3 linked regions of the Lepisosteus oculatus genome follow. The protein of the gene in region 1 binds, or shares a complex with, the protein of each later gene. Links are inferred from orthologs where the notes say so. Each region holds a gene or a part of one and is shown in the gene's direction. Other genes may lie near its edges. The genes, in order: ints11, wdr73 and brat1.

Region 1 (11,235 bases):
CATCAAATTCTAAAAAATAATTTTGCAAATACTGCAGCTTAATAACCATGCACCAAAACCTAAAACAGTGTAATTAGACTTGTAGTGAATATTATTCTGAATTATATCAAATACTATTGTAGTAGAGATAAATCTAAAAATCTGTTTTTAAATATTAAACTTATTCTCTCCATTCACTGGAGCATCTTCATTTTGATTGATGTTCAACAGCCCACTTTGTTTTCAACCTGTAAAATAGTTGCCCGTTTATAGTACAAACATTTTAGAACAGACCTAAGGGCTACAAATTCAGTCCTACATGTATCTAATCCTAAACCTCTGCTTTAAGTCCCCACCATAGGGCATAGAATGTCAAGAGAAAAGTGCAAATATAACAGAAAAAGATTAGGAAAATAACTAAAGTTACAACAGTGGGTGGGGCTCTAGACTTGCATATTCAAATCACACTTGTTACAATTGCAACACTGCTGTTGTATCCTTGAGCAAGATAATTTGCTGAGGGCTCTGGTGAAATGCGCTATAGTACAAATTAGTACACCCATAGGTTGCTTTTGCTGTAATACAATTCAAATTGGTAGCAAGTGCAAACAGTCGATTGAACAGACCCCACATAAAGGAAACGTCCTTTGTTTAAAAAGGCTCTGGCCTTTCATGCAACATGACAAATCTCTTAACCAAAATCCACAAAAAGGACTTTTAAAATTGAGACTTTCACAAAAAAAATCTAAAATATTGCCGTAAAAAAAGCAGGGGAGGCAAAAGATCCCAATTTTAAAAATCTCTCTTAAACTATGTACATTACACTAGATTTCTTTAAATGAAATAGTAGCCTATTATTTTTGTTGGGATTTCTGGCATAAGGTCAATAATGCATAACGCGCGATGAGGAAATCATGCTTAGCATTTTGACGCATAGATTTTTACAGAGCAAAGGATGTGCCTCACTTTAAATTCAAGTGGGAGACGAAGACGGGAGGGAAGTTCGAGTGACTGACCAGTGCTCTTGGTTCCCTTTACACGGGGTGGCATTTTAAATTTTGCAAAAGACATAAGATGGGGGAAAAAGACAACTTTTTAAGGTTTGAACCCACAATCAAATGTAACTGATCTTATATTTACTAGTATGTCCATAATACTCTTCCCATATTGTTGCAGTACCAAAGACACCATACAATGCAGAGACGGATGCAAACATTTAAAATTGTTAGTGCAAATTCCCTTTTCTTGACAAAGACATTTCCATATGGAATCAGCTTATTCCAGCTATGTAAAAAAAATCCCAGGCCTTTTTTGTTTTTGTTGGCCATGTAAACAACAACATTTTCCTTCAGAACGTCACACTCAGAAGTGATAAAAGATGACTCAACTTTTCAGCGTTTTTTCAAACGCATTCATATGCTCACACCAGAAAACGACAAGTCTGTGAAGCAAGCCGACTCCCTCTTAACTTGTAACACGTAATAAGTGCAATTCTTTAAGAGGCTTTGTTCATTAGTCCTATATGGCTTTTTAAAGTGCTGACTTCTTAAAAGGTTGCAGTTCTAGAGATCACAAAATATTCAGCCCAGTGCCTCTAGATTTACTCCCCTGCATCAGGGAACCTAAACCCCTCAATGACTAAAGACTTGGAACAGCTGATAATTCAATTACTCACTAAAAGCCTTGGTAGATTGAAACAAAAACATCCTATTGGTTCTCCTGGCCCAGGAGCGAGGATCACTGCCAAGTTTAAAATACATTACTCTTTTCTGTCCCATTCAATTAGCCTTTTGTTTTTAAAGCAGCACTTACTTTTTAGAAACGTCAGTGATGTATCGTTGATCAAGAGTCGGCTGTATCTAATTCTACTCAAAGGGGATAGGGGCAGATGTTACTGCTTGTGACCACTGGCAAAAGCAACTGTTGATTTGTTCATTTCAGCTTCCAGCCAACCTCACTGGGGGGGGGGAGGATTAGGGAACATTCAGGATCCGGGTTTAGAAGTGGCTGTCCCACGCGCCTGCGCTAGAAAGGACTAGAAGGGACAGTTTAGTTGTTTAACTTTCCGATTTATCAGGATGATGGGGTCTTTTTAACTGTTTTCAGCTGAAAGGTCAAATCCCCTCATTCCATTTAAGTAAAAAAAAAAAATTGGTCCTTCCTGGTTGAGTCTCATGAAGTAGCTCTTTTAAAAAGAAGATTCAGGTCCAGATGAAATCAAAGCTGTGACCCATCCGTCAAATTCAAATTCTCAAACCAGATTGCCTTAACGTACAATAGCACCAATGCCCCAGGGTGGGATTTAGGATTTAGGTCTCCATTTTGCTTTTGAGGTACCCACCCATCCATATATCCAGTAGATGGTTTATGCATCTAGTGGATTTATGGAAGGATTCCACAGAAGCAGACCTCCACAATTATTAAAAACGTGGTGGAAGACTACTTATTGAAGGCTGTCAGTGCAAGAATTCTTAAAGAATTATAAAGAATTCTTAGTGGCCTTTAATCATGATGGGATCTTTTTTTTTACTGTACAGACTCTACAGAAGGTGCACGCTTATAGCCCAGAAGTAGAGTACGTTCTGATCTTTGATCAGTGTTATAGAATAACTGGTTATAAAATCATGTAGTGTGGTTTCAAAAAATGTTACACATTTGTATAACTCTCGTTGAGTGACATTCCTGTAAATTTTACTTTCTTTTGCTCATCCTCCCAAACTTAACAAGAAGTATGAACTTTTGACACCGCCTTTCAAGATGTTGAATAAAAGGGGAGGTGCATTTGTGTGCTTGAGAAGCTCATTAAGGAAGCTAGCTGTCTAACACCGCATATATATAGTACAGAAACATCACTATCCAGACTCCCAACACCTCTGGATGACCTCCATCATCAAGAGTGAGGTACCAGCGGCGACACCCATTCACCAAATATCAGTTCTTCCCCTGCAAAACAAAGATCTGGAAAAACCACTTCTTTGTTACTTAAGAGCCATATTCATCCGACTTGAACCCTCACAATTCTAGCGCAGTGGAAAAATTAACAATTCCCCAAAAAACGAAGTAGTATTTGAGTGTGATTAAAAAAACAAAACAGGCGCACTGTCCAGAATGTGCTTGAAAACAGTGGTCTGCAAGAAAGAGAGCGGTGGTCCCATCTCCAGGTTCATCTTCAGCTGCACCTGCGCTAAGGCAAGTCCAGCAGGTTGTTCTTGGCATACAGCTCCTCTGTGATCTGGTAGACCTCGGCGATGAGGGGCAGGGCCTCCCCCAGCATCGTCACCACCTGGTCAGGTGTGCCCACGTTCATGACCTCGAAGAAGGTGGCCCGCCCGGGGAGAGCACAGAAGGCCATGAGCGAAGCCTTGCGGATGATCCAGGGGTGGTGGTGAGCCAGGGACTCGTTGTAGGCCTCCGCGCACATGGCAGACGTCTTCCCGTCCTCGCCGCTGGTCCGCAGTCTCTCCAGGAAGAGCTCCAGCCAGCGCAGGGCGCGGTGCAGCCTCAGGGTGGTCCGGCAGCCCGACTCGGGGTGGTCCGCCCTCTTGGTGAGGTCCACCAGCCCGTGGGCCAGCTCGTACTTCACCATGGACTGGACGGTCTCGTACTGCTCTCCGTGCTCGCCCTTGCGATGGTTGGCCATGATCTGGATCTTGCCGACGGCATCTTTGGAGATGAAGGAGAAGATGGTGCCGAGGCTGTTCATGAACCTTGAAGAGACCACGTGCAGAAGGTTGAGACAAAGCTACTGAGGTTTCGTTGCCACTAGTTTGATCTATTGATGGTCTTATTTAAATAAGTAATAGGTTTATTCCATGCTGGGGGAAAAAAAGAAGAAAGAAAACGCAACGTTTCGGCCGTGGAGCCTTCTTCAGGGTTCTTCAACCCTCACACCTGAAGAAGGCTCCACGGCCAAAACGTTGCGTTTTCTTTCTTCTTTTTTTCAGCATGGAATAAACCTATTACTTGTCCCATTTGCAGCCTACGCATGCTGACGCAGCTACCCACCTGAACTACTTATTTAAATAACTATGCATTTAGAAAATGCTTTTATTTAAGTCGGAGCCATTTACAGCCAGGAGGAGAGGGACGTTTATGAATAACTGTTGCCAAAAAAAAAAGAGGTAAATATTCAAACTCGCTCCCTGGAAATACTCCATTTACAATCGGTATTAGTATTGCAGTATTTTCACCAAACCTAACTTTCCCAGAGCAGCCCCTGAGGAGACTAACCTGCAGTGTTAGCTGAAACCCTCAACCTGTGAGGCTAAGGGCGTTTCTCAATGATATGATTAAATCTTTGCTGCCTGGTGTGCCTGGTGCATTGGTTAGCACTGTCACGTTTTGTTTTGCACTTCAACAATGATGCTTTTCTCTCTCCCTGCTGTGCTCTCTGTGTAACAATGATGACCCTGCCAAGAGGCATTCACCAGTGATCGTTTCAACTGGCTTGTCTTGCTAAAGAGAGGATTCTTGCTTCTTTATACAGTAGCAATTTCTATTTCCGATACTGTTGGCTAATGATGCTGTCGACCGTTGGTCTCGCAGGCATGAAAGAACTTGGATGGCATCCTCTTCTGTATTTCCCCGCTGCAGACAGGATCAGGATCTCCAGCTGGCGAGACCCTGATGACAGCAGCAGGCTTCAGCCTGTTACCTCAACTGCAAAATGAACTCCCCTTTCTGTACAGCACCCTTTACAACACATTGTCACGTAGTGTTTACCTGTCATGTATACATTTATATACTGTAGGGTTATACAGTACATTAACTAAAAAGGAAATTCGATTAAGTGGGTGTAAAGTAGGGCAGCGTGGTGATGCAGGGGTTAACACTGCTGCCTTGCAGGGCTGGGCCCTTGGGTGCTGTTTGTATGTTCTCCCTGTGTACAGGTGGGTTTCCTCCGGGTGTTCCAGTTTATTCCTACAGTCCAAAATTATACTGGTTGGTGAATTGGCTTCTGGGAAAATTGGCCCTGGTGTGAATGTGTGTTTGTCTGTGTTTGGTTTCCAGGAGCTTCTGCCTTGTCCCCGTTGCTTGCTGGGATAGGCTCTGGGTCCCCTGCAAACCTGAACTGAATAAAGCAGTTAGAAAATGGATGAAGGGATGCAGGTTTCAGAATCTGAATTGGATAGATGGGACACAGGTCTGACTTCATCTCGACCTAAATTTTATTTTAAAAAAAAACAGCTGCTTCATTAGGCTCATCAATGCATGCTTGAGAGGATGAGTGTTCATCCAAAAATCATCCATTTATCTCTGCTGCTGGTCTCTCCACTACTAAACTGTCATTATATAAATATAATGACATAAATATAGACTATCATCTGGATATAAAATAATATTTACAGATGTTCTAGTTTAATTGTCGGGGTAATTAAAACACAGTTTAATCATTAATCAAGTGTCAAAATGTAGACTTATCCATTGATTACTGTGTTCAACGTTCAACAGATCGTTTCCGTTTGCAATATTCACATCACTGACTGGCTGCCTGCCTGCGCTCAATTAGTTAGAATACGTTGACAATTAAAAATTAAAACCGTTTAAGTACTAAATGTTTTAATGTTCACGCCCAGCCGTTTAGAGTCCTATTTTTAGAAAAAAATAGTTTTGACAACTGCTACGAAGAAATTAACTAAAGTTAATCCGATGTTTGAAATAGAAACGTTTTCACAATTATTTTTCAGAGTTCACCCGAATTTATTCTGGCCGTTTAACACAGTAACATCAAACACTAGTTAAACCTGAAATCACCATGGAAGACTCACCTTACAAGTCCTCGCCACCCCGCCACGTACTGATCGATTAAAATCTCCTTGTTGTCTGTGAGACAGGACTGGAAAGTGTCCAGCACCTCTTTCAAACTAAATTTCTGGTCCTCCACCACATCAGCCATGTTTACCCGGAAGCAGGAAAGCACACCAAGCTTGACAAGAAAAATCAGCTGACGTAAATCTATGTGAACATAAATGAAGACGTGAAGTAACTTTGTGATGTTTTCTTTTTTTTTTTACAAAAAAAAGGCAGATTTTTTTTTTACTTTCATGCAAACGGTCAGCTGATCTCACATCTCCACACACAGCCTTCGCTTCTTCACTGGTTTATACGGTAACCGGAGTGTTATCTTTTGCTTTCTCAACCGAACAGTAAATCTCTTTACCCCACCTTCCGCTTGTTTCTATTGGTTACATTTTGTGCATCGTTTGTCAACTGCTCTAGTATTTGACGCTGATTGGGCTGTGCTGTTGTCAATCAAAGAGAAATCGCGTGGTGGGTGTCATTGCATACAAGATGGCAGCGTACAGCAGATGAAGTTGATTTTTTTAAAAGATTACCCCACTAGTAGAAAACCAGACTTGAACATTGTTAAGGTGATAACATTTTCATACCCGTCATTTTACGTCGAAGTAAGTGATTTACTTATGCATTGAAGATCTCTGATGGAATTTATAGCATTTTAAACTGGAAAACGTTTTAGAATCATGTTTGATTCTGAAGTTAAACGCTTTAAATCCTTTTACTTGAATGTATTAATTTGTGGTTCTCTCTCTTGTTTTCGTTCTCAATTGTTGTTTTACATATTCCAACTAAGCCTTTGCTAGGTCCCCGAGGTGAAAGGACTTGATGCCTGATTGAATCTAATTGCATATGCTGCGTGAAGCATTGAGGTGGTTTTTAGATTTCCAATGAATGATGGTTATCCGTCATTAAGTTGAAAATAAACACTTGTGGTTTCCCCTTCATGCAGATGGGTACAATCTTTTGCAACAACTGACCGTGATCACGCCGGTAGAAAGAAAGCGAGCGTTTCTACAGGATGCCCGAGATAAAAGTAACTCCTTTAGGTAAGATGTCAGTAGCAAACGGTGTAAGTGATATAGTTCTTCACTGAGTAATATCCGTGTTTGTCCTGCATTTGAAACGGTCCTGTGAGTTTGTAGATAAGTACAACAGTGCTTTACAGTACTCTGGCTCATACTTCAGCGGAGTTAGAATGAGAAGAAATGACAGAATCTCAGCAGAAGCAATTTCGAATAACTATAACACTTTGAAACCATTGGGTCAACCTAAGTTCTACTTCATTGATGTGTTGTCAGACTCAGAATGTAGTACACCTACAGTATGAGCCCCACAGAGACCAATATAGTGTATTGCCTTTGGAAATGCTGTGGTGGGTGCAGACGTGTCTTGTGCTAATGTAGATTGCATATCTAACATGCAGTTTACTACCATTGAAATAAAACATTTATGCGATCGGCATTGCCCTTATTCCCTCTGCAAGTTTTGTGTGGCCTAGTAGTGCGTATGGATTGTTGCCCGAAGTAACGTCTTTCCTGTCTTGCAGGTGCTGGCCAGGATGTGGGGCGAAGCTGTATCTTGGTTTCCATTGGTGGCAAGAATGTCATGCTGGATTGTGGGATGCACATGGGATACAATGATGACGTGAGCAGTTTTGAACTGTGGATCACCTTGTCTTAACATAACATTCCCTGTGAAATTGTGTCACTGTAGGAAATTGTTCTTTTTGTTGACGTTTTGACTGCATACACTTCTTTTTATCACCCAATTATGTAGTTCTGTTTCATGTTTGCCTTAGTGTTTAATGTCCTGTTTTCTGTTTCAGTTAGGGCCCTTTAATAGCTATTTCTATTTATTGTAGTTTTAAAATGTTTTGGGGAGACATATTGGTGAAGTGGTTGCCTTGCGACGCTGAGACCCCGGGTTCAATTCTTAGGGTTCTGTCTGTGTGGAGTCTGTATGTTCTCCACTGGTTTGTGTGGCTGTCTTCCCGGTGCCCTGGTTTCATCCCGCAGTGTAAAGACATACTGGGGTCTGGGAAAATTGGCCCTGGGTGTCAGCGTGTGCATATTTGTGTCTGTGTGTGCCCGGTGACGGACTGGTGTCCCGTCCAGGCTGTATCCTGCCTTGTGTTCGTTGCTTGCTGGGATACCTTCTGACTCCCCTGTGACCCCGTAGGGGATGAAGTGGCTTAGAACAAGGGTGGATGGATGAATATTACAATATCGCAAACTATTGTATCTTTTGTTTGTTTTATCAGAGGCGTTTCCCAGATTTCTCCTACATTACACAGAACGGACGGCTAACAGAGTTTCTGGATTGTGTCATCATAAGGTTTGACCTTTATAATTTTCTAGACATTTAACCCCATCCAAAGTCTGGAAATTTTCAAGTCCAATGTTGATTCAAAGATCACTTTGAAACCTGCTGGAATCCAGCACTTGAGGACCAAGATCTATGCCTTCCTAAGGATCTCCATGTAACCTTTTCACTTGATGAGTATATCGGTGCATTTATTTTATTGGTGCCTTTATGTTTACAGCCAGTATTGACGAAGCAAATAAAAAATCTAAACAATCCTAAAGACAGCCATATTAAGGACAAACGTAACAGTGTGAAATTGTGCATAGCTGTTAAAAATGGAGTGTTTTGCTGGTTCGCTTCATTGTTTAAGCTCCCAAAGAATGTACTTCAAAGACACAAAATCTATTTAATGTTTTGTGGGTGGTGTGTGATTATAGTGAGGTTTTGAATGGCGATATGTGAACTGTTTCATGGGGAAGCTGTCTGAGTGTGAATTATCCCTGCCCTTATAGTGTCTATTAGGAACTTATTGTCTCATTTTTAATATTGCATGAACGCGCCAGTGTGGTTTGAGGTGGGAACTGAGCATGCCTGGGAGTTGGCAGAGTGGCATAGATGAGACCAGTGTTTGGAACATAGCTGAGGCTTTACAGGTTGCACAGTTATTCCCATTTACCGGATGCCACCGAGATTGTTGATTTAAAGTCCTTTGGCTTGGCATGTTCCTTGAGTTGTGCAGAACCAGAACTGATAAACACCCGGTGGTTTTGAAAGCTCGAAAGTACTAAACGTCCACAAACGTTTGTGAAGTATACCAAATTGATACTAAAGAGATAAACGAGGAAGCTCATTTCTGTTATTGCCCAGGAAGTGCTTTATGTTTTGATAAAGATGAGACATGATATTCCGCTCTTTGTCTCTCAGCCATTTCCACCTGGATCACTGTGGCGCCCTCCCCTACATGAGTGAGATGGTGGGCTACGATGGGCCTATATACATGACCCACCCCACCAAGGCCATCTGCCCAATCCTGCTGGAGGACTTCCGGAAGATCACCGTGGACAAGAAGGGAGAGACCAACTTCTTCACCTCGCAGATGATCAAAGACTGCATGAAGAAAGTGGTGGCCATAAATCTCCATCAGACAGTCCAGGTGACCTTTTCACTGCCGATTTTCACTTTGCAGAAATCCGACTTGGGAAGTTGTATTTTCACTTGAGCGGTTTCATTTGCTGCCCACCAAAAAACAACTGTTTCAGTTCATTGGGAGTATTTTTGCCAACCTTCATTGCAAGCAAAGTGGTTCATCTTGGGTACCTCTAAAAGAAATCTAAGTCTTTGTAAACCAAAGGCAGCAAATTTTAACGCTTTAATCTACGAAAGGGATTCCTAATAATAATAATAATAATAATAATAATAATAATTAATAATTAATAATTAATAATTGCTTACACTTATATAGCGCTTTTCTGGACACTCCACTCAAAGCCAGTTACACGTAATGGGGATCCCCTCCACCACCACCAGTGTGCAGCCCCACCTGGATGATGCGACGGCAGCCATAGTGCGCCAGAATGCTCACCACACACCAGCTCTCAGTGGGGAGGAGAGCAGAGTAATGAAGCCAATTCATAAATGGGGATTATAAGGAGGCCACAATTGGTAAGGGCCAATGGGAAATGTGGCCGTGACGCTGGGGTTACACCCCTACTCTTTTTGAGAAACACCCTGGGAGTTTTAATGACCACAGAGAGTCAGGACCTCAGTTTTACATCTCATCCTTAAGGACGGTGCCTGTTTACAATATAGTGTCCCCATCACTATACTGGGGCATTAGGACCCACATAGACCGCATGAACATGCTTATCCACAGATTTTGTGTGCACAGTTTTTAAACACTTGAATACCTTGAGATTTTTTCTGATACTTATAGTAATGCAAAGAAGCATGTATTACATTTTGGTGTTTGTTGTCTTAAGAATGGAGCATGTTCATGTGAAGGGAACGGTGCTATATAAGGGTTTTTGTCTGTAGGTGGATGACGAGTTGGAGATTAAAGCCTACTATGCAGGCCACGTATTGGGAGCTGCCATGGTACAGATTAAAGTTGGGTCAGAGTCTGTGGTCTACACTGTAAGTAAAGAGCACAAGTCTTCCTGTGGCCTATGTGTTACTTAAGGGAATAACTTGCATAGTGCGTGTACACTTTTTTCTCTCAACATAATTGAACCCTGCATCTAAAAGTGTATGATCATCTATTGCAAGTTAGGATGCTAATTGATTTTCTGTGTCTTTGATTAACTTGTCTTCAGCGTAATAAACTGTAGGGATACACACAGTTGTAACATGATGTTGTTGGAGCACACATTGTATGTCTAATTAAGTAGGTAAGACTGTGATGCTGTTTACACACCAAAATAATTTCCTATCTGCCTTTAAGTAGAGTTATTTGATGTTACCCATGAGACTGGTCTTGAGAAGATATTCAAGATTTACTTGACAAATACAGTATTTAATTTTACTCTTTATGTAAAACAGTTCAAATAAAAAAGATATGTGAATAACCTGTACATTCTGAGTCAAACCTAAACTTTTTTTTTTGTCTAGGGGGATTATAATATGACACCAGACAGACATTTGGGGTAGGTGTCACGTTGTTTTCTTGGCTATTTAAGTTCTTAATTTCGAAGCTAGATTTAAAATGGTAAATCTGTTTTTAACCAGTAAACCAGCAACCAGAGTCCCGTGATGCAGACATGGTTGGGTTAAACCAGGGGCCGTGTCTGTGAGTTTCTCCAAGTCGTAATCGGATCCTGTCGGGCCCTTCTAGTTTGGTAGTATCCAAGGATCTCATCCAGACGCTTCTTGAGAGATGCCAGGGTATCGGCTTCAGCCACATGGCTGGGTAGCGTGTTCCATACCCCCCCCAGCCTTTGGGTAAAGAGTGGCTCCTGTTCTTGGCTTTAAACACACTTCCTCATAGGGAACACTCCTCTTCCAGCCAGTGCCGGCTACTGTCTACAGAGGCACTGTGCTGGCAGCAGGTGTAATCGTGCAGGATTCTGACAGGTGGGCAAGTAAGAGGAGTGTGTTCCTCTGGTCTTTGTGTCCTGTACAGAGCCCATAGCTGTAAAAGGTGAGTCGCAGACCTTT
Region 2 (10,417 bases), on another chromosome or scaffold:
AACAATGCTTCCTGTGTTTGTGTGTTTGGAGCCCTCTAACTGCACTTTGTCCACCTCAGCAGTATCTCATGACAAGCCGCTGTTCCTAAGAGAGAACGGAGCCCCCACTCTCGGTTGTGTATAGTTTGTGTAAAATTGGATCTGTAAAATGGAATCAAGCATCTTAGATCCTCACAGACTCATAGACTGAGAGTTTGGGATTACGGTGGGTTTAGTGTAGTTTCATTACATAATTATTTGTCTAGTTAGAATTAAAACCGCATGAACATTTCTATTGTTTGTACAAGGGTATTTAGAAGTGAAGTCCTTAATTAAAAACAAAATCTGTAGATGTATAAATAATTGTGTCATAAATGATACAGTTCATTCTGTATTTTGTTTGTATTGGAGATAATTGCTCTTTTACATTGTCGGATGTTAAAGAATTATTACAGACGTTCTTCAGTGTGCTGCTTGTATAATATGACATGTCTGGATGAGCGCTGGCTGCTGTTCTGTTTCTTTGCCTTTGCAGGTCTCCACCGAATTGTTTCTCTTTCAGTTAAAGCTATTGTACAAAAACAGAGCTATAGCTTGGTGGCTCTACGAAGTCAATATACAAAAGCATAATTTCTGACTTTCTTAAGCGTGAGTTTTCAGTTTTAAATCCCAACTGCACTGTGTGACCTCCCTGCCCAATTCTGTAGCCTTTTTAGATTTTCCCTGATTCTTGGTCGCACTGTTTCTCCTCACTGTTCCAAGGTACTGCATTCCAGGGCACTGGAGTGTGCAGCTGTGTGTTTCTGGGTTGGCTGCCCAGACGCTCTGGAGTCTGGCTCTTGCAGCCCCTGGTGATTAGTGTCGTGGTCCAGCGGGCGACAGGGTGCTCCTCCCCCCTGGGGTCTCACGAGGTGTCATATAAATACAGGAACCGGAATCCGAGGGGCAGCCACTCTGCTGGAGACCTTCCTGCTCAGAAACACCATGAAGCCCCTGGCGTTGGCAGTTCTGGTGCTTTTCCTGCTGGCAGCCGCATGTGGTACAGGTAGGTTAAAGATATTCTAAAGCTACACTAGCAGAATTTTATTTGCTTTCCTTAATACTTGCTCACTCGAGGTCCTTTTCTTTTAGATTCAAAGAATGTTCAGACCCAGAAATGTACGATTTCTATGCTACACCTGCTGTATCTGTTAATGGTTAAGATTAATTCATGGTAAGAGTGTTCAGGACCTGTCTTTCTTCACCCAGCCTTTACTGAGGTGTGAGCATCTGGGCTCTGGAGACTGTGTTTCCTCGGGTGTCTGTTTCTGGGAGTAAAGTGTAACCTGGTTGTTTCTGCCGAATTCTGCAGAGGAGGACTAAGGTGAAATTCGGCAAGGAAGCTGTTTGATTCTGAGGGAGAAATCACCATTCTTACCCTGTGATTTAATTCTGTGCTCCTCTCTTGTGATCGTTTGTCCTGCGTTATCTTTGCAAAGATGAAGATGTGGAGGTGAATTTCTGGTCCTGTGGCTACAGAAGGTACTGCCGTCGGTTCTGCTATGCCCAGGAATACACAGTGGGTCACCATGGGTGTCCTCGCAGATACAGGTACTGGAATCATGCTGCTATGTTCTTGGTGTTCTGGATTTTCGGCATCTGCTGTATTACAGGCATTTATGTTTTCACCCGTTGCCATAGTGACGACACAGTCTGATAGGCAATGTGCTTGCCGTGATGTAACATTCTCTTGTCAGATAAATTAGTACATGTTCGATGCCTCTCGTGTGTTTCAAACACGACCAAGAGACAACATGAGCAAGAGCAAGAGGAGAACTGCTTAAAGTTTGTATTTATTACATATGCACTCACAAAAAATAAATACAAAAATGCTTTAATCAGGATTATTTTTAGCTTTGTAGCATACTGGCCTCCATGCCCAGTATTATACAATGTTTACTACTGATCTTTGAGAATTTGTGAAAAGCATGTTAAAATGCAGCAATGCAGTGCTGATCGTGATGTTTTTTTATCTTTTCCAGATGCTGTGCTTTGCGATATTAGGAAATGCTGTTCAGATCAGCGTAACCCACAGGATATCTCGTGTGATCAGACTGACCATTCCTACAGGATCTCCGCTGTAAACAGATCAAGGTGCAAGAGGGCCAATCCTGCCTCCAGGCAGAGTCCACATGTGATATGATTTCATTTTGCAAACTGTATCTGGAAAAATACCCGTACCAATTACTGTATGTGAAGCTTCCAAAACAGCTCCACGATAAAAATAGATTGCACTATTAAGACACAATTAAAACACAATAATTGCCCATTTAAATGCAATTTTGTCATTTTAAATTCAGTAATATTTATTTTATATTTTTAATTTAATTCAGAAAAATAATAAAAAACGGTCTTTCCTGTGGCAGTGGGTCACCCCACATCAGGTGCTGTGCCATGGACTTGTATAAGGTACGTTAGCTTTGATTTAAAACAAATGAACTCCGGTAAAGTTTAGATCACGCTCAAGAAAAACAAATATCTGCTCATGTGGCAAAGTTGAACTACAAATAGCAGCCAAGCCTAATCACTAAAACATTAAATGACGTGGAAAATCGCTCTCGACCCCAGATGACCACATTAGCAAAAACAATTTTGCTAATGTACTTTCACAGTTTTGAATAAGCCTGCTGGGGAGAGTGGGTAGAGAAATATGGAGCAGAAGCAGAGCTGCTGAATCTTTTTGTCACTGAGCTGCGAGTTTAGCGTGACGCACTGCTGTGGTTTTTTTTGAAAGGACTGTGATCTCAAAGGTCCTGCGTGCACAGAATGCAGTATTTGCGAAATAGCTACGTTCTCTTTCTTGAACAATATTATTATTGGGTGCCATGACAGATAGAGCTAAAGATGCTACATTACGTTGGCTCATAGGAGGTCACAGATGAGTGAAGAGTGTTTGGGCCGTCTAGCCTGTTTGGTAGTTAGTTACTCACTGAACCGCAGATCCCAACCAGCCATTTCTTGAAGGAATCCGCAATGAGCTGAAGTGCGGTGCAACAGTCCAGCTTGGTGACACCTTAGTGTGAAAGGACCAGACCAACAGATGTCTGTTTTTCACACACGTTTACACAGACAGACGTTCTAGTTCCTTGATTATGGTTTCAATAATTGAAAATAAATAATTCTAGAACACAATCTCAAAATATATTTTTTTTACTGCCTGGGTTTCTGCCACAGCTACCAAAACAAACGACTTTGGCATCCCAGGTAGTGTTGGCAGGCAGACCATCATTAGCTGTTTTTGTTGCTAAAATATCTTCTTTATGTTTCTATACTTATTTCTGCTTGTTTGTTGCCATCCAGTCTCTGCCATATTGTCACAGATTATTGTTCTGATGTAGTTTGGCTTGTTTTTAAAATAAAAACCTTCCAAGTGTAAACAAGTGTGTTTTCTACTTTCTCAGCATTATCTTAAAATAAATTCCACTCAACACAGTAATGTTCAAGTCATAATCGTACTGCATAAGCTCATAGATATTCCATGGCATTTCTCATGGGACATAACATTTCTTTTGAGCATTGCAAATAATGTTTATGTCTAAAATTACAATCTGAGCAATAAATGAATTCCACACTCTTCTAGACAAAGGAGACAGAACCAGTAGGGAGGCACAGAGTAAAGAACAGAGTCTGGCAGGGGACAGAGGAAGCGATATCAGAGCCAGCTGGCAGGTCAGGATTTTTCCTGTAAACACAGTAGTTTTTATCCCCCTGTCTGCTGCTTGAATATGCATTACTGATGCCACTCCTGATGGGTGTAGTTATCCTATTTATATTTCATCCCTTGTCCAAAACAGTTGATGTGAGGATTTCAAACTCCTTAGTTAAATTCATGTCTCCGCCAAGAAATGGCTGTCTTATGCTCTGAGAAGGCCTTAAAATAAACAAGATGTTTCACACCCGCACTGCACATTTTCCTGAGGGGTTCGCCTTTTTCACTTACACACAGTTTGTGTTGATGAAAACAGATGCCTGTAACATTTTTCCCAAGACCCCACTTGAATCAAAACTGAACGCAGTAGACACAGCAGACTACTGGAGACCATGTATTGTAGTGTACATACTGTAAAAACCCATGCTGACAGTGCCTTCTTGTTGCAGGAGGCCTTATTTCAAGAGTTTAGGACACACTCATGCATGCACAACCACCCTATCACCATGAAAACACTTTATTATCCACAAACACCACGAATTGCCAACATGTGGGAATGTTCACTCAACCATTCAATCACTAATCCCAGCAGTGGCTAATAAACACCCAGTGAATTTGTTTACAAGAGCTAGCCATATTTGGCGGCCTCTGGTGGTGTTTTTCTGTTACTACGCTGTACAGCCCAGCCTGCCTTTTTTGCATAAACTTTTCTTAAATGACTTTCGAAAGTCTTTTAAAATCAAGTCAGGCTGCCTGGGGTATCCAGTGATGGATATATATATATACACACAAAGAAAATCATGGTGAAGGCCTTCTTTATAAGGTTAAATTACGTGAGGCCAACAGCATGGACAGCTCACACAGTATCATGCCATTCAGAGAAAATCTTAATGATTTAATGAGAGTTGTAAATTAGAACGACTTTCACATCTATTTTTTGAAGATCATGGTAAATGATGATATTTAAATGTCTTTTATCCTACACTTTGGAAGAATTCTAAAGAATAAAACCTAATGTACTGTATATAAATCTCCTATTAAGGTATAAAGTATTGAAATCCACAATCAACTTAAAACTTAAAAGAAAACAAAAGAATATGTAATTCATATGGTAAACAAAATAGTACATAAGTGCTTTTATACTCCATTCTCTTTTTATATTTAAAGATCTTTGGTAAAGATATTTGGTATTTGAAAATGTTTGAAATGGTGATTTTAATGAGACAATGCAGTCAACTCGCTGACTATCATAAGAAACAACATTTTTTAAATTTCTCTCATCATGGCACTGAACGTCAATGGCCTTTGCAATTCTGAGATGTTCTCACACTAAATATTTTTTCGTTGAAGCCCTTACCTTCAAAAATGACAAGATGCATTTGTACAGCATGAAAAAGTAACATTAATCACACACAATTAATATTAAATTAAATCAACCACTGCACAATTTCACTGACATCTTAAAAGACCATGATTTTACAAGCATAGGGAGATATTTTTCATACGAGAGGAAATCAAGCTAGCTGGGACAACATAGTGTGCATTGGACAGCTCTGGCTCAGTAGTAGTTAAAGTTCCCGATTGGCATCTGTAAACATGTGCTACACAGTGCAACCTCATTGTCGTCTGGGTAATCACTCAATCTTTGTGCTTGTGTAACTCAGTCAGCACAGTGTGACACAGCCACAATAGCGCAAACCCCCTGCAAATCTGTTTACATGAGGCTTTCTCTGTACACAATAATATCAACACAGACCACAGACAGCCCCATCTGGTCCAAACCAGTGTTGGATTTTGGAGGGAAAAAAGAATGAACTTTTGATCTCCAAAGGATTCTTAGGTAACTGATTTATTTTTAAATCTGTTTAAACCCCCCTAGCTTTTACATTTAAAATAGGTCTGGTGACACTCAATTGATCTGAACACCACAATGGACTGGTGGGGTTTAATTATGGTGACACTACTCTTTATTTGCTGTTGAGAAAAGGAACTATGTGTCCTACATTTAATCGTTAATCCCAATGCCCAGTGCTCACGACTACATTCACACCTAAAGACTCAAAACCCACAGTGACAACAGAAACCTACTTTAAATACAAATAAAATGTTTGAACTAAGAACTGCATTAGTAATTCTGTGTAAGGGGGGTCTGTTTGTTTATCCAAATATAATTTGTATTCTGTGCTGCGCGTTTCGGAAATATTTACATTGCAATTAATTTGTATCTTTAAATATGAGCTTTGATTTAGAATAACGCGTATGAGAAACCACATGAATGAAATCGCTAAAATCACTAAAACTTCGAATTATGCAGAGACTGACTTATGCAAAGAATTTTAGTTTTTCACATACTGGAAGTATAAACTGTATTGTAAGCAGCTACTATTATACTTGTGCATCTTAAAAAAATATGGACATTGGATAGTGGCTGCACATCTGAGTTTGGAAAAATGTCAATTAAACACGGGAATACTGTCCATATAGGGAAAAAATAGACCCCTTAAGAAATTCACTAAAACCTGACCGTTGATTGCATATTAATTGTAAACGAGTGCTATTGTGTGTGAGCTGTGTGCTTTAAATACACGACTCACAATACCTCAGCTATCTCACAGTTTGCAGGTCTCGCAGCACGTGATTCTCCGTGACCCGGAAGCAGTTGTGGAAACATAGGCTTGCACTTCCTACTTCGCCACCATGGAGCCATCCGTGTATGAAGATGAGGTTGATGACTGGTTTATCGAATCCTTACATCTGTGAGAAAACCATATTATTAAACAGCGAACGAGGAAACGTGTTGCCTCAGTACTTGATGTAGTGTTATGGCCATGCTGTAACCTCTAGTGTGCACGTATTCCTTGCAGTGACTTTCTCTTTTTTCATTATTAATAACCAAACCAAGAAAAGAGCACCACGCGACATATAGTGCAAATTATATTAGGTATTGTATGAAATGCGAGCTGAATTGAGACGTCCGATTTACAAACCAGGAAAGCAATGCACTTACGATTGCAAATTAGTGTGTAATGTTTACAGTATGGCTATGATGCTATCGTGCAGTCCAGCTGCAACACAGAATAGAGCCCCTTTAGAGCAATGCAGTACCGTCGTAGTGACATTGTAATCTTCTGCGCAGGTATGGGGATCTCCATTTGTTTGAACTTCAAGATCCGACACGAGTCATCGAATGGACTGGAGGAAAAAGTAAAATGGACTGAAACATTTAAATTTCTTTAGAAGTGGTTGTAGTTTCACTGGTTTGACAAGTATTATGCTGTTTGCTGAGATGCTACTGTGTGTGTATTTGTGTCCTCCGCAGGTATCTGTGTAGCTGGCTATGGAGCTAGTAGCACAAGGAATGAAATCCTGCAGCTGGCACTGCCTCAGAAACTCTTCGTGAAAGAAAACCAGGTAAAGACTGTCTCGGTAATGGTGCTCTTACGGCCTGGCAGAAGTGTTTTCACCAGTGTAATTTGGAGCTAGGAAAGAACACCATGAATATACCCTGATTACGGTTAGAAACAAGACTGGCGGTTGGCACCTTGCAAATACAATAGTGACGTTCTGTAACAGTTTATGGAGCGTCTTATAACTAAAGATCCTGTTATCGTAGAGATATTGAATCACAGCTTATCCATGAGGTAGGAAACAGATTTTTAAAGCATGTTAGAATGATTGAGTTCTGTCGAAAGATCCCTCTGGGGACAGACCAGGCCTTGCTGAACTTCTGGGATGTGACAGGATCAGACAAGGTGGTAATGCTACCTTATGTTTACTACAATATTTTTGTCACAAAAATGTGTGCCCTATAGCATGACCTTCCAGCTTGGTCACACGTGGACTTTACAGCAGGTTAACAATGCAAAGTCTGCTTCAGAAAGGTCAGAAGGTCAAGATAGCATGTCTGTGTTCGTGCTTGTTCATCACACTCGCCCGGATCACTCTGAAGGGCTTCTAGATTTCAGTCCTTCTGGGACACTTAAGTTGTTCACTTAATTGGTCTCTATTACCAGTGCCTCCAGGTCTCTACCCAATAAGGATTATAAGGTACCCATGAAGTGTGTGGCTCCAGGAGCAGGAGTGAATGTCACTGTGTCTGGTAGAAGACTCGTGGAATGAGCTGCAGAGAGCGGATGTTTAGAAACAGACCACCCTTTAGATGCAGTTCATCAGGGACGTGAATAACACTGGTGTCCGACTTTGTGGAAAATACAGCACTTCGTCCCGTTTCTCCTCAGGGCCTGTGCCCTGAACGAGACTTCAAGGTGGAGCACGGTGGCTTCTCAGACACGCCCATCGATTGCCTGAAGCATGTCTCTGGAACAAGGTAGGTTTGTAAAACATACCTGCAGCAGCCTGAGCACCGAAACCTTCTTGCACGGAAAAACAGAAAAAACACTTTTTTTTCAGCCATACAAGTTAAAACGGGGGTGGCGTCAAATGAAAGGAAATACAATCTATGCAGATTACATTAATGGGACTAAAAGGATCAGATACCAAGACAACTATGTACCTTTCCTCTACATGAACAGCTTCCCTGTTTTCCTTTTCCTGTGTTAAGGACGCTGGTGTCCAGTGGTCCCTCAGACAACACTCTGCACATCTGGCAGATAGGAGACGAAGACAGCGGTGAGGATCTTGTTCATTCCAAGTGCTTGGAATGACTAACAGTCTGTTTAATCTCTTTATTTTACTGTACTAGATTGTCTTCTATCTTTTCTAAACAAAGGAGAATAACTTATTTATTATACAAATTAATCATTGCTTCTTGGGGCCTGATTGGATGTTTCATGTATTTCTTTCATAAGAACGTAGGAAGGATCAGCTTTGAAATACTCATATCAAAGCATTGCTTACATTTCAGATGTCATGTAGATCTTTTTTTGACACTGCGTGCTGCACCTCCAGTATCCACAGCTCTGCTTATGTTTTACCTCTTGCTGGGTGGTAGATGTCATCAGAAGAGCCGGAGTGATCGAACCGGAGGTCCGGGTGAAGGCAGGGAGCAGGGTTGCCTCCGGGGTTTCCAGGACGCCTTGTGTCCTTCATGCCTCTCGGATCAAAGACCTGCAGATCACCGAGCTGGAATCGCGACGGGTGCTCTACTCAGTGGGTAACTGAGAGCTTGTGCATTGGACTTGTGGGTGTGGGTGGGTGGCCAGAGCTGTGTAAGCGATGCACCTCCATGTGAAATCGCTTCAGAGTCAGTTCGTGACGGAAGCTTTTATTTCCCCAGCTGCAGACTGCGCGGACAGGGTGAGCGGCCTGGAGTTCCTGGCCGCCGACGTGTTCCTGGTCTGCGCAGACAGCGGGGGCCTGTGGCTGTGCGACGTGAGGGACCCCGCCGGTCTGCGGCCCACAGCCACCCCCGAGGGGCAGGGCCCGCGCTGGCGCATGGGGGTAAAGAAGGGGCATTCCCACGTGGAGGCTGCCTCCGGCACTGTGGCGCGGCTGTCCTCCTCCTGCCAGGTCCTCGTCACAGATCTGCGGAGTCCGAGAAGCCCCATGTGCCAAGCCAGGCTGAATATTCACCACGACAGCCCCAGTGCTGACTTTATGGCTGTGACCTGGGCTCCGGCTTTAGACGACTGTCTGGCTGTGTCAGGTAAGCAACATTATACGTCTCCTGGTCTAGAGCACCTACTGCCTGCAGGACCTCGAAGTCTGTTCCACTTGGTGCAATGGTTGGAAACCTGGTGCAAAATTCAGACATCCAGTGTGAACTCTACCAGGCTGCTGTTCAGAATGTTACTTTACTGATAAACAATCAGAGGCTTCAAAATATCATCCCAATATCCGGCCATGAAGGAGGCCTTCTGCTGGTACACGAAGGAGAGGTGCTTGTACTGATGTTCAGAGGTGAGAATCAGGAGAGAGTCACTTGCTTTGACTTGGGAAGATTATAGGTCGAAAGAGGGGGCCTGCCAAGTCAATGCACAGCAGTGTTTGCTTACAAAAATATAGTGGACGCACTTTGTCCATGATTTTTCAGTACTGTAGGGGGATAAGTGAATATATGTGCATTATGACAAGTAAGGTACTGTAGATACATTTAAAAACGTGGGTTTGTGGCAGTTCAGGCGGTTGCAATCTACTGCTTTCACAACACTGAAGTGGAAGACATTCTCTCTGCGCACTCCATCTTTTGCTTCACCACAGCCGTGTGAATGGCTCGAAACGAGAGAATGAGCTTTTTTCTCCCTCTGGCCGTCAGGTTTCGACGGAGCTGTGCGCGTGTACGAAACAAAGGCCTGGAGCCCGAACGCCGCGGAAGCAGAGCCTCTGTTTGTTCACAAGGGCCACAGCCTGTCGCACGGGCCCGAGAGCGGCCGGGGCGCGGCTGTGGTCACCACACACGTCTGGCACCCCTGGAAACCCAGGACAGTGCTGTCTGCAGCCACCAATGGGTCTCTGCATGTCTGGGACTGGGTCGACAACCAGGCCAGGGGCCGGTAAAGGCAACGGAGCATTTCACAGGAACCTGCCTTTGGATTGGGGGGCGGTGGAACACTTCCCCTGCCCCAATGTGAAGAAACTGGGCATCTTGTCCAATGAGGTTTCTAAAGGTTGTGGAAAAAACTGTACACTCAAAGACTGCTATCAGCATGACTGTAGCCTGTGCTCTTTTTGGGTACTGCAGGAAAAAGTCAAATGAATCATTTACTGTATACTTGATTTTCACAGCTATTTTTTTTTGTATATATAAACCTCAATTCTGCTGCTGCTGAAAGGAGTAGCATATTTTTTTCC
Region 3 (10,492 bases), on another chromosome or scaffold:
GAGGAAGCCCTTGTTTTTAATATCATTATTGTGCCTAATTCATTCCATTTTTACACACTACTTGTAGTATTTTTATTAAAAGGCTTCAATTTTTTCTTGCACTTACTTTATCCCACCAATTTTCAAGCTCTTCTTGTCCAACAACCCCATGGACTAAAGAGGAGGAAAAAAATTACATGATTCAAATGGTTATTACTGTTAAGCTTAAAGTGGAACAATCTAGCATTAGGCAAAGTGAAGTCAAAACTACAAAAATGAATTATATAGTAATATTTGATCTTTGATTATCTTAGTTCAAAAGGTACTGAAGGTCGTTTTGTTCATTCAATGATTAAATCTAAAAAAAGGGACTTACAGGTGTTTCATAGATACTGAGTGTGTCTTGTGTCATTCTGGCAAAGAACTTTCCATCATGGCTCCACCTGAAAATAATTTCATACAAAAAATAAAGATTAAAAAAATATTGATTGAAAACTACCAAAATACTTTAGGTCAAATGCCAAACGGAATATTAGGCATAGTCTTAATTTGCATAAGCCCCCTAGTAGTACTGATAAATCTAAGACATGTAGATTATAACACTACTCTCTGAATGCAAAGACTACAATCCTGTTGACTAACAGCAGTGAAATATATTTATTCTTATATATAAAGGCCTTAATTTAAAAAACAAGTATGAAGGCTCTATCAGTTACACTGTCACTAAAAGTAGGTACAAATGTTAACTTATTTATTTGTCATCTTTAAAATGAATGCTCAAATTCCATTACTAGGGGAAAATAAGGGAAGATAAATAAAGAGGGCAAAAAACTATAATGCACTGCAGCACAAACAAACACAACTCACTTGAAAATTGGCCAGTGGGCTGAGCTCTCACAATGGAAACCCCTCTTCTTCTGCCCAGTCAGAATATCCCAGATGATAATAGCTTGGGGGTCATCTTTTGTGTCCATTAGAGGACTGAATGTAACCATGTACCTGTAATTGAAAACACAATTAAAATCTTTTATGCATATGTGCAGAACAGTTACATAAATTCACATACAAAAACATTTTAAGATCATAGAACCAAAAACGTGAAAACAATCATGTAATAACCAAACAACACACATTTCAATTTAATGCAGTTTCACCTAATGTTTTCACCTGAGGTGGATGCTGCACATTGGTGGTGGTGGAGGGGAGTCCCGATTACCTGTAAAGCGCTTCGAGTGGAGTGTCCAGAAAAGCGCTTTATAAGTGTAAGCAATTATTATTATTGTTTTTAAAGAAGGTGAAGCAGGAAACAAGATGTTACTTTTTTGGCATGTTGTGGTTAGTCTCCAAAGTTCGTTTTGATTCAACTCTGATATATTACTCTACACAAATGAAAATCTTTACTTCCACGTATACAGTTTTCTTTCTACTCCTTTATCCAAAAGATATGTGCAGGCTGAACAAGTTTTTATACGATCCTTGCAGAGAAGGCTTAAAACTGTAGTTTCCTTACACAGCAAACATGCACCACCAAGATTCTTTCCAAAGCTCACAATAAAAACATTTTTATTTTTACGGTCCACCCAGATGTGTAGAACAGCCTCTTTTTGGCTGTAATCTTCTTTGTGATCCTAAAGCATAGCATTAAATTGACATATTTGGGATTTAAAAATGCCTTATGTCCAGCTGTTACCTGTTGGATAAACATTTTAAAAATCCAGAAATAAAAAAATTACTTTAAGAAAAAATCTTGATCACTGTGATAATGATAATGGCAATTCTTTCACCTTTCACATGGTGAGAAGTCAATGAGTTGAACACCCTGATGGCTAAACCTCTGAATCTGCTTGAACTTCTCTCCTCCCCATAAAGCAATACCCCTCTGATGGAATGTAGCCAGATAAGTGCCTTTTGGAGACCAACGAACATAGGTCTCTGTCCAGCGCTGTAGACAACAACAACGAAGAATTATATTCAATTAGATGAATTAAAGACATTTTATTACAGTAAAATGAAACCGATGAACATACATTTCTGTTAGGGATGTGAAAGTACAATATTAGAAGATTGTAGACGTTTTTTTTACATGTTCATTAATGCTGTGCACCACATTAGTGCAAATGCTATCTACATTAAAATGCATCCGAATTGACCTATTTTTGCATATGGAATTCTTATCCTTCTCCACTACTTCTCAGAGTATTTTATTTAAAAATTCCATCTTGGCACAAAACAAACCAAGACTGCCTCTGTGGGTAGACTATTTTACTTATCACATTCAATACTCCAAACTATATTGCCTCCAAAAAAGGTGTCAATGTGAGCATTATATTAATTAAAATGGCCATGTTAAGAACATAAGTACATACACATTAAAAGTTCAGTTCAAGTGGACATGTCTTGGAAGGTCTCCTTTTATGTGACTCTTACTTTATGATGGTCACATGGGCAAAATACAGAGAGTAGTCTTGCCTTTGTAAACTACTTACAGCTCTCTCCTCGATCGTAATTGGTTCCTTGACATCATTGGAGAAAATGCCTGTCCTTTCACCAGCTTCAAAAATCACACTATACTGATCACGGCAGTCAGAATCTTCAAGCCAGTACCGTAGATTCCCCTTAAATTAGAATAATCCAAATTGGACGATCACAAAATTGTTATTAGTCATCAGAACTGATACTTAAATCATCAAATCTTTTTAAATAGATTTAAAAGATGAGATTTGACTGACTTTATGTTTTCCCAAGTGTTTGAAGATGTTAAATTTATGATCTTTAAACTGAACATTAAATAAGCAAACAGAGTTTGCAACAAACTTCACTGCTTTTATAACTTTTTTTACTTTGAGGTCATAAGGCCAGCCACCAAATGTAACAAAATACTTAAATGCTAAAAGAGAAATTAAAATAAAATACTTTTCAGTATAATTTTAATGTTTGTACAATAATTTGCTGGCCTTAATGTGTTAAAATGTGTTAAAGAGGATGGTAGTCTCAAAAGTGCAGCATCACTTACAGATATAACATTTGCAGTGATAACTGTATAGGCAATCCTGAATGATATACACAAATTAGTAATGATACTTACAAAGTCTTTGAATGGCTGTTTTTCAGGGGTTTCCCATTCATCACTGATATTCATGTACCTATACAAAAATAATGCTAATTAAAAAATAGCAACACTAACAATATCAACAAGAGTAGTTCAGGTGGGTAGCTGCGTCTGCATGCGTAGGCTGCAAAGGAACAAGTAATAGGTTTATTCCATGCTGAAAAAAAGAAGAAAGAGAAGAAAGAGAACACAACGTTTCGAAACGTTGTGTTCTCTTTCTTCTTTTTTTCAGCATGGAATAAACCTAATATCAACAAGAGTTTGCAAGTTCACATACTACCTCTAATCAGGTTTCCTATAAATAAATCTCAAAAGAGCATTTACAGAAATGGGGAGATGACTGTTCAGTAATTCTATCCAATCCATAATACCCTTAGTGTTTTTCAATCCCATCTCCAGCAGGTACCCATCTGAACAAACTCCCTTGGATGTATCACTTAGAGGCAAAGAAAAAAGCGGAGACATACAGTACACAGTGTATAAATGAAAATAAATTGCTCACTTGTCGAAGTCTGTAAAGATATTGACTCGGAAGGTGTGCTGTTTGTCCAGCTTGTAGCCATCTGCATTTTTCACTGCTTCCAGAGCATGAGCTGGCGATGCATACTCCAGAAAAATGTACCTAAACACAAGTGTTACACAAGAGAAATACAATGAAGCACAACTACCTACAAACTTCCCCAGAAGACATGATTTACTTTTAATATAGTCTTACACAACAACAAATCAATAATAGATGTTTGCCTTCAAAATAATTTGTAAGAGCTGTATTATTCCTCAAAGCAAGTTCTTAATAGCTAATAACCTGGATATAAATCTAGAACATACCTGAGTTTAACTTCAAGTCCAAATAACTTTTAATAGCATGAATAACAAAAAACAATCTATACGTAGAATAATTAATCTATATATAATTAATAACTATACCATTATATTAAAATAACTTATTTTGCATACATAAATAATTGCACAGCAGTAGTACACACATTCAGTAGAACCAGACTAAATACAATGAAAATAAAGTTATAAATGCATTAATGAGAATAAATCAATGAGTGTACATACATATTCATGTAGTAAATGTTGAATGCAATTTTTTAAAGAGCAAAATGATAAATATGCAATACAAACCCTTTTGTCTTTCCTTCAGCTTCTGGATAAAACTCATTTGTAATCTTGCCAAATCTTGAGAAAATTTTATGTATGACATTTTTCAATTTCTCTAAGCGCTCTGGTCCAACTTGAGGAACGTTGTCAACCACAATAACCGAGTCAATACCGTCCGCCTCTTGGGGCCTCTCCCTCAGAATATCAGCCAACAGTTCTGAAAAACAGGCAGAAATACAGTTCCAAGAGCAGTACATCAGTTATCAGTAAAGCCCAACTACAGTTAGTTATTTTTGAGTACACACCCACAAAATGCGAGATCCATGTTTTATTGTAGACAGCATCATCTGTACTTTAACACAGCAGCAGGCTTAATATTTTTTATTTCAGTAATTAAGTTGAACTATAAACGTAATATAGTTCGGCGGTTTATAAAAACACAGTGACATTACTTCCGTTCACAGTTCAATGAGCATACAGTGCTTTTACCAATGCAATTTCAGTAACGATAGATGAGCGCTGCTTATCTTTCATTATAAATATGTAACTAACATCCACTTTTACACCAGATTGGTGTAATTTCGTCATTTTACTCAATTTAATTTTAATTATACATTTCAGTTTAAAAAGTTCCTTAATAACATGTTGGAGTAAAAAACTCCAAAATATTGGTAACACTTCAGAACATTATAAAATAGTCAGGATTGCGTTAAATAAACCTGTACATTATCTGTCCGGTAAAGATCAACTACAGGTCGAAAAGCGACTCATTTGCCTATAACGAACATATTGGAATACCGTTACAGAAACTTGCAACGAAATATAAATGTACAATAGACAGCCACCTGAAAAGACATTTCTACACCTTTTAAATATAAGAATAATACATTTAATTTGAAAATTAAAAAAACCGTAGTAACTCTAATTTACTCTATATATACACCTTGCTGCATACTCAACACTGAATTACTGAGGTCTTTGTTACTATACGACCGAACATTCAATCTATAACGTTAGTGTTACTTAAGAATGTGTTACTCGTGTCCTTAAACTGGTTGCTTTCTTATCATTTTTAACTTATACATCCAGCTGCGACATGCTCGCTTCGTCAATGACTCCACAACCGGGCAGAAACTGTTAAAAATTGAGTGCCTTGAACGGAAATGCACGATTTAGTGCCTTTATTTTTAGGCCGCGAGTTGTACCATCGTTACATTTAACAGTAAGAAAGCTTATTAAATAGCGCTTATTTTTATTTGAGTTATTCCAACCAGGCCGCAAAGCCGGGTGCTTTCCTCCGCTCGATTACCCTGTTCACTGATGTCATCCACAAAATCCTCTGGGTCACTGAAGGATAGCTCTTCACCCTCTTCAAACTCGGCTTCGGCCGCCATGTTCTCCGTATCCCGCATTTAAAGCTTTACCCTTTCAATAGATTTATGGAAAATTAATATGACCAGCTTTTCTATCAAATAATCTAGATATTTGCTCAGCAGGCCATGTGCACGACAACCGGCGCGAGCCAACTTCCAGTGAAAAGGGACTCAACCTTTTCGGAGGGATGGGGGTAAGGATTAACAGGTAGTGTTTTCTAAACACGTAAAACGAAAACACCTATCAAAACCTCGATCTTATAATATAATAGAAATGACAATTTTATTATAATATTTCTAGCATATACTGAAGGTGAAAAAATTGAATACTCTATTAAATATTTCCCCTCACACAATTTGGTTCGTTCTAAAAATGGATGCCTCCAGATTATTTCCTGTTACAGGAGGAAGTGCTTGAGAAATGTAAGAAGGGTTGGGCTTTTCACAAATCCCAAATTCGGAGATTTTATTGATTGTGATGTGTTAGTCATCGTAAATTATGTTAAACTGAGAAACGTTTAAATGTAGAATCTCTATATTTGTTTTATTGTAGAAGTCTGTAACTATCTTTGATTGTTTATGATTAGTAAGGACAGAAGAGCACGTGGTAAAATGAATGTGTGTTGTGTACTTTAATTTTCTCTTTAATTTTTGTGAATTCTTATTCTTAACCAAAGTAAAGTTGTAGCTACACGTGACTTAAACACTAGATTGGGATCCCACCCTTCACTTTTCAGACGTTAACGACAATTTTTCGTTGAACGTATATCTACGCCTCGGCGTTCATCTTTGTGTTTGCCACAATAAGATAAGGAAGCTGCAAACTCCGGTATTGTTAAACCCGTTGTGTTTTAATGCGCATAATTACTTTACTGACCCAAATAATCGCATGTTACTGTACAGAGGAAAATAGCAAATGACATTTTATTAGGTCCCTGTTATGTTTAGAATTTGTATTAGTTTTCGATGCGTTTACTTCTAACTCTAAATGGGAAAATAATTCTTATGGCACAGGCATCATCTTACTAATTACTACTATTTACTTAATGAAAAATTGTGATTACTAATAATTCAAGAAATTAGGTTAAAATTAATATTATAGCAAATTGTCATTTAGATCCCTCAATTCAAAACCTGAAGGTGCTTAAATTCTTATAAGACTCAATTAAGATTATGTGTTCTGAATTTAGATGATTTATAGGAACACGTAAAGGTTTGTTCAATGCTGAAAAGAGAAGAAAAGAAACAACGTTTCGGCTGTAGCTCCTTTTTCAGGTGTGAGAGAGGAAAATCGGCAGTTGATAAAGCACAGGAGAACAAAAGCTGCAGAGGAGGTGGGAGCAGGAGAGAAGCAGAGTGGACACTCAGGTGGTTTGAAATTAAGAGAGGTGAACAGAGGTGTGAAGTCAAAACCTGCAGATGAATACAGAGGATTAGAAGGAAACAAGTCTGTCAATGAGAAAAGGGGGAAGGTGTGATCCTAGTTTCAGAATAATTTTGGTTTTGGATGCAATAGGAGATCCGAACCCCCTCTTTGAGAACAAAGATGGAAAGATCAGTATGATCATGGCTGTTAGCGATGAAATGGGAAACTGTGGGCTTGGAGAGATCTTTGATCCTCACAGCCCTGACATGTTCCCTGAAATGGTCTCTCAGTCTCCTTCCTGTTTCACCAGTGTAAATAGCTGGGCATTTTCTTTAAGAGATGCAGTAAATAAATTTGTTGGAGATACAAGATGTCATCTGAGTGATCCAGAATTGTCCAGATGGGCCTTGAATGTGCATGGTATTGGATATATATTTTCAGGTGATGCAGCGAGTTCTGTTGCAGGGGAAGGTTCTTGGTGTGGATGATTGCTGACTGCGGTCAAGAGAGCAGTATACTATAAGGTTAGATTAGGTAGTTGGCAATATGAGATGGCGGGGCGTTTTACGAAAAAATGAGTGCCAGTGGAGGGATCATCCTTTAAGATGTGGAAGTTGTCATTAATGGTCCTGGGGATAGAAAGGGTGTTAAGGTGGTTGGGAAGCACCACGGGAATGTGGTTGTGAAGCCGGGAACTCCTAATTGAGTTGATGGTCTGAGGGCTATTTTTGGCTCTGGGAAGGGCCCTGTCAATAATATGGGTGGAGTATCCTCTGTTAATGAAAAAATTGTGCATTTTAAGGGCTTGGTTTTGGAAGTCAGTGTCACTGCAAAGTTGTCAGAACCTGAGAAGCTGTGAAAAGGGGACAGAATTTTTAGTATGTGTGGGCTGAAATGAGCTGTACAGAAGGTAGCTGTATGAGTTTGTAATAGAAGTAGAGATGATTTATATCTGTTATTTTGGGGGAAGTGCACATTATTTAATTGAAAACTTACTAATTAACTTGTATGTTGTTAATGAGAATATTAAAACTTGTTTTCGGATTCCAGATAACCAAAACAATGGATAGTGAATGTGCAGAGCTGCTACCTCTTGTCTGTACAGTTCTTGTTAATCCAAAGCAGTCACTCCCTGATGATACCTGCTTTGAGAAGCTGCTGGACTGGTTTAAAGACCTAACAAAAAAGGGTGAGCTATTGAAACAGACTGAAAGCTGTAATTTTCAAAGGGACTATAATATTCACACTCAATTATACAGTTAAGGGTTTTTTTAAAGGAAACTGAGAGATCAATAAATGTGCACCACTAGAGAAGATTCTCAGACAATCCTCAGTGGAACAATTCAGGTGTTGAACACTTTAATGTGTTAATTAGGTTTAGTCAGCCTAATACTAAACTAGATTGTGACATATTGGTCACGTTTGCAAAGTACAGCTGGCATGAAAAGGGAATATTGATGGCTACTTAATTTGCCAAGTTAGGTACGGTGCACTTACTGGCTTTGAAGCTGCTGGTATTGGCTATTCAGTAACACTAGTAAGTCTAGTTTTAAACACACTAAGATGGAGGTATTATTTTAAGCATAGGTAGTGAATTCATCTTCAGTTATACTTCATTTTTAAAAGTTGAATATATAATATTATGCTTTATTTCTTCTTTTTTAGTATCTGGGGCATCTTTGCTGCAGCACAATCCATGTTTAACTGAATTGATATCCAGTGTGTGTAAATTGAAGACAAATGAACCCACTGTTCTCTCCTTTGTACTGAGACTGGTTGGGATCTTAGCTGCTACTGAAGAGGGATTTTGCTTTTTAGAGGTAAATTGATCAAAGCCACTCTTGAAGTTTTCTTTACATACAATTCCTGGAAGTGTGCTACAGGAAAATTATTTCATACCTAATATATTTCATTTGGTAGCTTTTAACTTTGTGTTCTAAAAGTTTAGCCTATAAAAAACCTTTTTGCTGGCAATATAGCTCTTACAAAGTATTGTAGATAAAATGTAAGACATAATCATCATTTTGGAAGAGGAACTGACTGTGTTCTGCTAACTTTACATACAGCTGTGTTTTTTCAGATTGGAGCAGCTCTAGCAGGAATATTTAAACAGAATATGATATAACTTTTAAATTATAAACTTTTCAGATACTGGCTTTTCAATCTCTCCTGTTTCTCTTGTTGCTTGATTGCCACATGAAAAAGAAACAATGCCTGAAATAAGTAGGCTGAATCTCAGTGCTCAGGGGTTAGTGTTGGCAGTCTTCATTGGAGATATCATAATTAGGATGCTTGAAATGTAGAAATTGAATAGCCTGAATTGTGAAAACTTTTGTCATCTTCAGGAACAGGACATTTTGCACAGTCTCTTTGGAAACCCAGGCCTGACCCACACAGAGCTGTGGGATGAGGCAATAGTGCGCAGTGGGTGGATCAATGGATTATGGAGCATGCTCCAGCACTGGAGGGTTATGCATTTCATCATAATGAACGGTGGGAATTGCACATAGTAATGCACATAAAATTAATTTAACTTTAAATGTAACCATTTTACTCTTTCCCCAATATGTCATTTTACAGCTCCTTTCCTATGAACTTGAAACATCCGAATAATGAAGACATTGTACTCTGTCCAAATGATCAAGTCTGCCATCCAATGACCATTTGTCTCCAAACTAAATATTGGGAAAGCTATGAAATGACATAATTAAATAGGATTGCATAGCAGTGTCTTTTTAATTTAATCATAAGACACCTTTTTAAAAATAATTTTAATTCATACATGCAGATTTTTAAGGTGATAAAATGCAGAATTGAGAATTTTCTGCTAATTTAAATTTGTAGGGAGGGTGTGTGTTTTATTCTAAAATTGTGATGTATTTCAGCATTTTTACATAGACAAAAATGCAGACCTAAAAAAGGTCTGTTAGTTCAGTCAGAGATCTAATAATAATAATAATAATAATAATAATTGCTTTTACTTATATAGCGCTTTTCTGGACACTCCACTCAAAGCGCTTTACAGGTAATGGGGACTCCCCTCCACCACCACCAATCTTGAAGAATTTCTAAAAAATGGAGACCTTAATCCTTTCAAAGTTGAAAATTAATTTAGCCACTGATTAAGAGCTTGCTGGAACGAAAGCCAGAAGGTGGATCCCTCACAAGAAAGACTTAGACTTAGAACCACTTCTCTATCCTCTGTCCAAACTTACAACAGACACAGTTACTCTCTGAGATCCTTTTCTAATCCTCTCTAAGTGTAGACTGTAGATCTCCCCTGAACTCTGGTCACTAACAATATCTAGGATTGTGTGTTTAATTAAATGTGAGCCTTCATTTGGTTCACTTTTTGGGGCAGTGCAGTGGCTCTGTGGCTAAGGATCTGCGCCTGTGGCTAGAAGGTTGCCAGTTCAAATCCCACAGCCGGCAGAAGAATCCTACTCCGTTGGGCCCCTGAGCAAGGCCCTTAACCTCAACTGCTCCAGGGGTGCCGAACAATGGCAGACCCTGCGCTCTGACCTCAAGCTTCTCTCCCTGTCTGTGTGTCTCATGGAG

The links.
Region 2: the proteins of ints11 (region 1) and wdr73 are in contact, whole or in part, in a cryo-EM structure (PDB 8R22), measured with the Homo sapiens proteins. The link is inferred for Lepisosteus oculatus from reciprocal best matches to the Homo sapiens genes INTS11 and WDR73. Residues at the interface, in NP_060341.2 of Homo sapiens: Tyr206, Thr208, Thr209, Ile210, Arg211, Asp212, Ser213, Arg215, Cys216, Arg217, Glu218, Arg219, Asp220, Leu222, Lys223, Lys224, His226, Phe255, Arg258, Met259, Leu364, Val384, Glu385, Tyr386, Ser388, Lys418, Lys419, Glu421, Phe422, Gln425; in NP_116245.2 of Homo sapiens: Asp5, Asp6, Leu8, Val9, Ser11, Leu12, Tyr15, Gln16, Phe18, Tyr19, Ala20, Phe21, Asp22, Leu23, Glu50, Leu52, Arg59, Leu68, Phe69, Pro70, Glu71, Arg72, Asp73, Phe74, Lys75, Val76, Gly79, Phe81, Asp116, Ser117.
Region 3: the proteins of ints11 (region 1) and brat1 are in contact, whole or in part, in a cryo-EM structure (PDB 8UIB), measured with the Homo sapiens proteins. The link is inferred for Lepisosteus oculatus from reciprocal best matches to the Homo sapiens genes INTS11 and BRAT1. Residues at the interface, in NP_060341.2 of Homo sapiens: Leu9, Val15, Gly16, Lys27, Met35, His36, Met37, Gly38, Phe39, Arg43, Asp47, Tyr50, Thr58, Asp59, Asp62, His70, Leu71, Asp72, His73, Asp87, Gly88, Gln97, Pro101, Ile102, Glu105, Arg108, Lys109, Val112, Asp113, Lys114; in NP_689956.2 of Homo sapiens: Asp25, Thr27, Cys28, Glu30, Lys31, Asp34, Pro117, Ser156, Ser157, Leu158, Phe159, Ser162, Lys358, Ser359, Cys366, Arg367, Arg424, Arg427, Thr465, Lys468, Lys469, Trp514, Glu515, Asp518, Ser519, Glu522, Tyr560, Ser564, Ser604, Glu605.

Annotation. Positions count from the first base shown.
Region 1 is NC_090720.1:10,496,118-10,507,352, reverse strand, and holds the start of ints11 (integrator complex subunit 11), read left to right. Parts: upstream 1-6,036; 5' UTR 6,037-6,087; intron 6,088-6,232; exon of another isoform or gene 6,233-6,386; intron 6,387-6,727; 5' UTR 6,728-6,796; coding exon 6,797-6,824; intron 6,825-7,324; coding exon 7,325-7,422; intron 7,423-8,038; coding exon 8,039-8,112; intron 8,113-9,006; coding exon 9,007-9,235; intron 9,236-10,116; coding exon 10,117-10,215; intron 10,216-10,689; coding exon 10,690-10,724; intron 10,725-11,235. Other genes in the region: cptp (ceramide-1-phosphate transfer protein), read right to left, coding at 3,164-3,686, 5,748-5,875.
Region 2 is NC_090700.1:1,907,700-1,918,116, forward strand, and holds the start of wdr73 (WD repeat-containing protein 73), read left to right. Parts: upstream 1-6,317; 5' UTR 6,318-6,364; coding exon 6,365-6,423; intron 6,424-6,803; coding exon 6,804-6,871; intron 6,872-6,986; coding exon 6,987-7,078; intron 7,079-7,905; coding exon 7,906-7,994; intron 7,995-8,228; coding exon 8,229-8,296; intron 8,297-8,618; coding exon 8,619-8,780; intron 8,781-8,903; coding exon 8,904-9,272; intron 9,273-9,881; coding exon 9,882-10,123; 3' UTR 10,124-10,417. Other genes in the region: defbl3 (beta-defensin-like 3), read left to right, coding at 964-1,024, 1,458-1,569, 2,001-2,022. UniProt on the Homo sapiens protein: Component of a multiprotein complex required for the assembly of the RNA endonuclease module of the integrator complex. Associates with INTS9 and INTS11 in the cytoplasm, stabilizing the INTS9-INTS11 heterodimer and blocking the active site of INTS11.
Region 3 is NC_090714.1:9,157,229-9,167,720, forward strand, and holds the start of brat1 (BRCA1-associated ATM activator 1), read left to right. Parts: upstream 1-5,997; 5' UTR 5,998-6,147; coding exon 6,148-6,186; exon of another isoform or gene 6,187-6,397; intron 6,398-7,984; coding exon 7,985-8,123; intron 8,124-8,599; coding exon 8,600-8,754; intron 8,755-9,279; coding exon 9,280-9,427; intron 9,428-10,492. Other genes in the region: eif3ba (eukaryotic translation initiation factor 3, subunit Ba), read right to left, coding at 107-153, 356-422, 847-978, 1,764-1,921, 2,466-2,594, 3,065-3,122, 3,591-3,710, 4,220-4,412 and 1 more. UniProt on the Homo sapiens protein: Component of a multiprotein complex required for the assembly of the RNA endonuclease module of the integrator complex.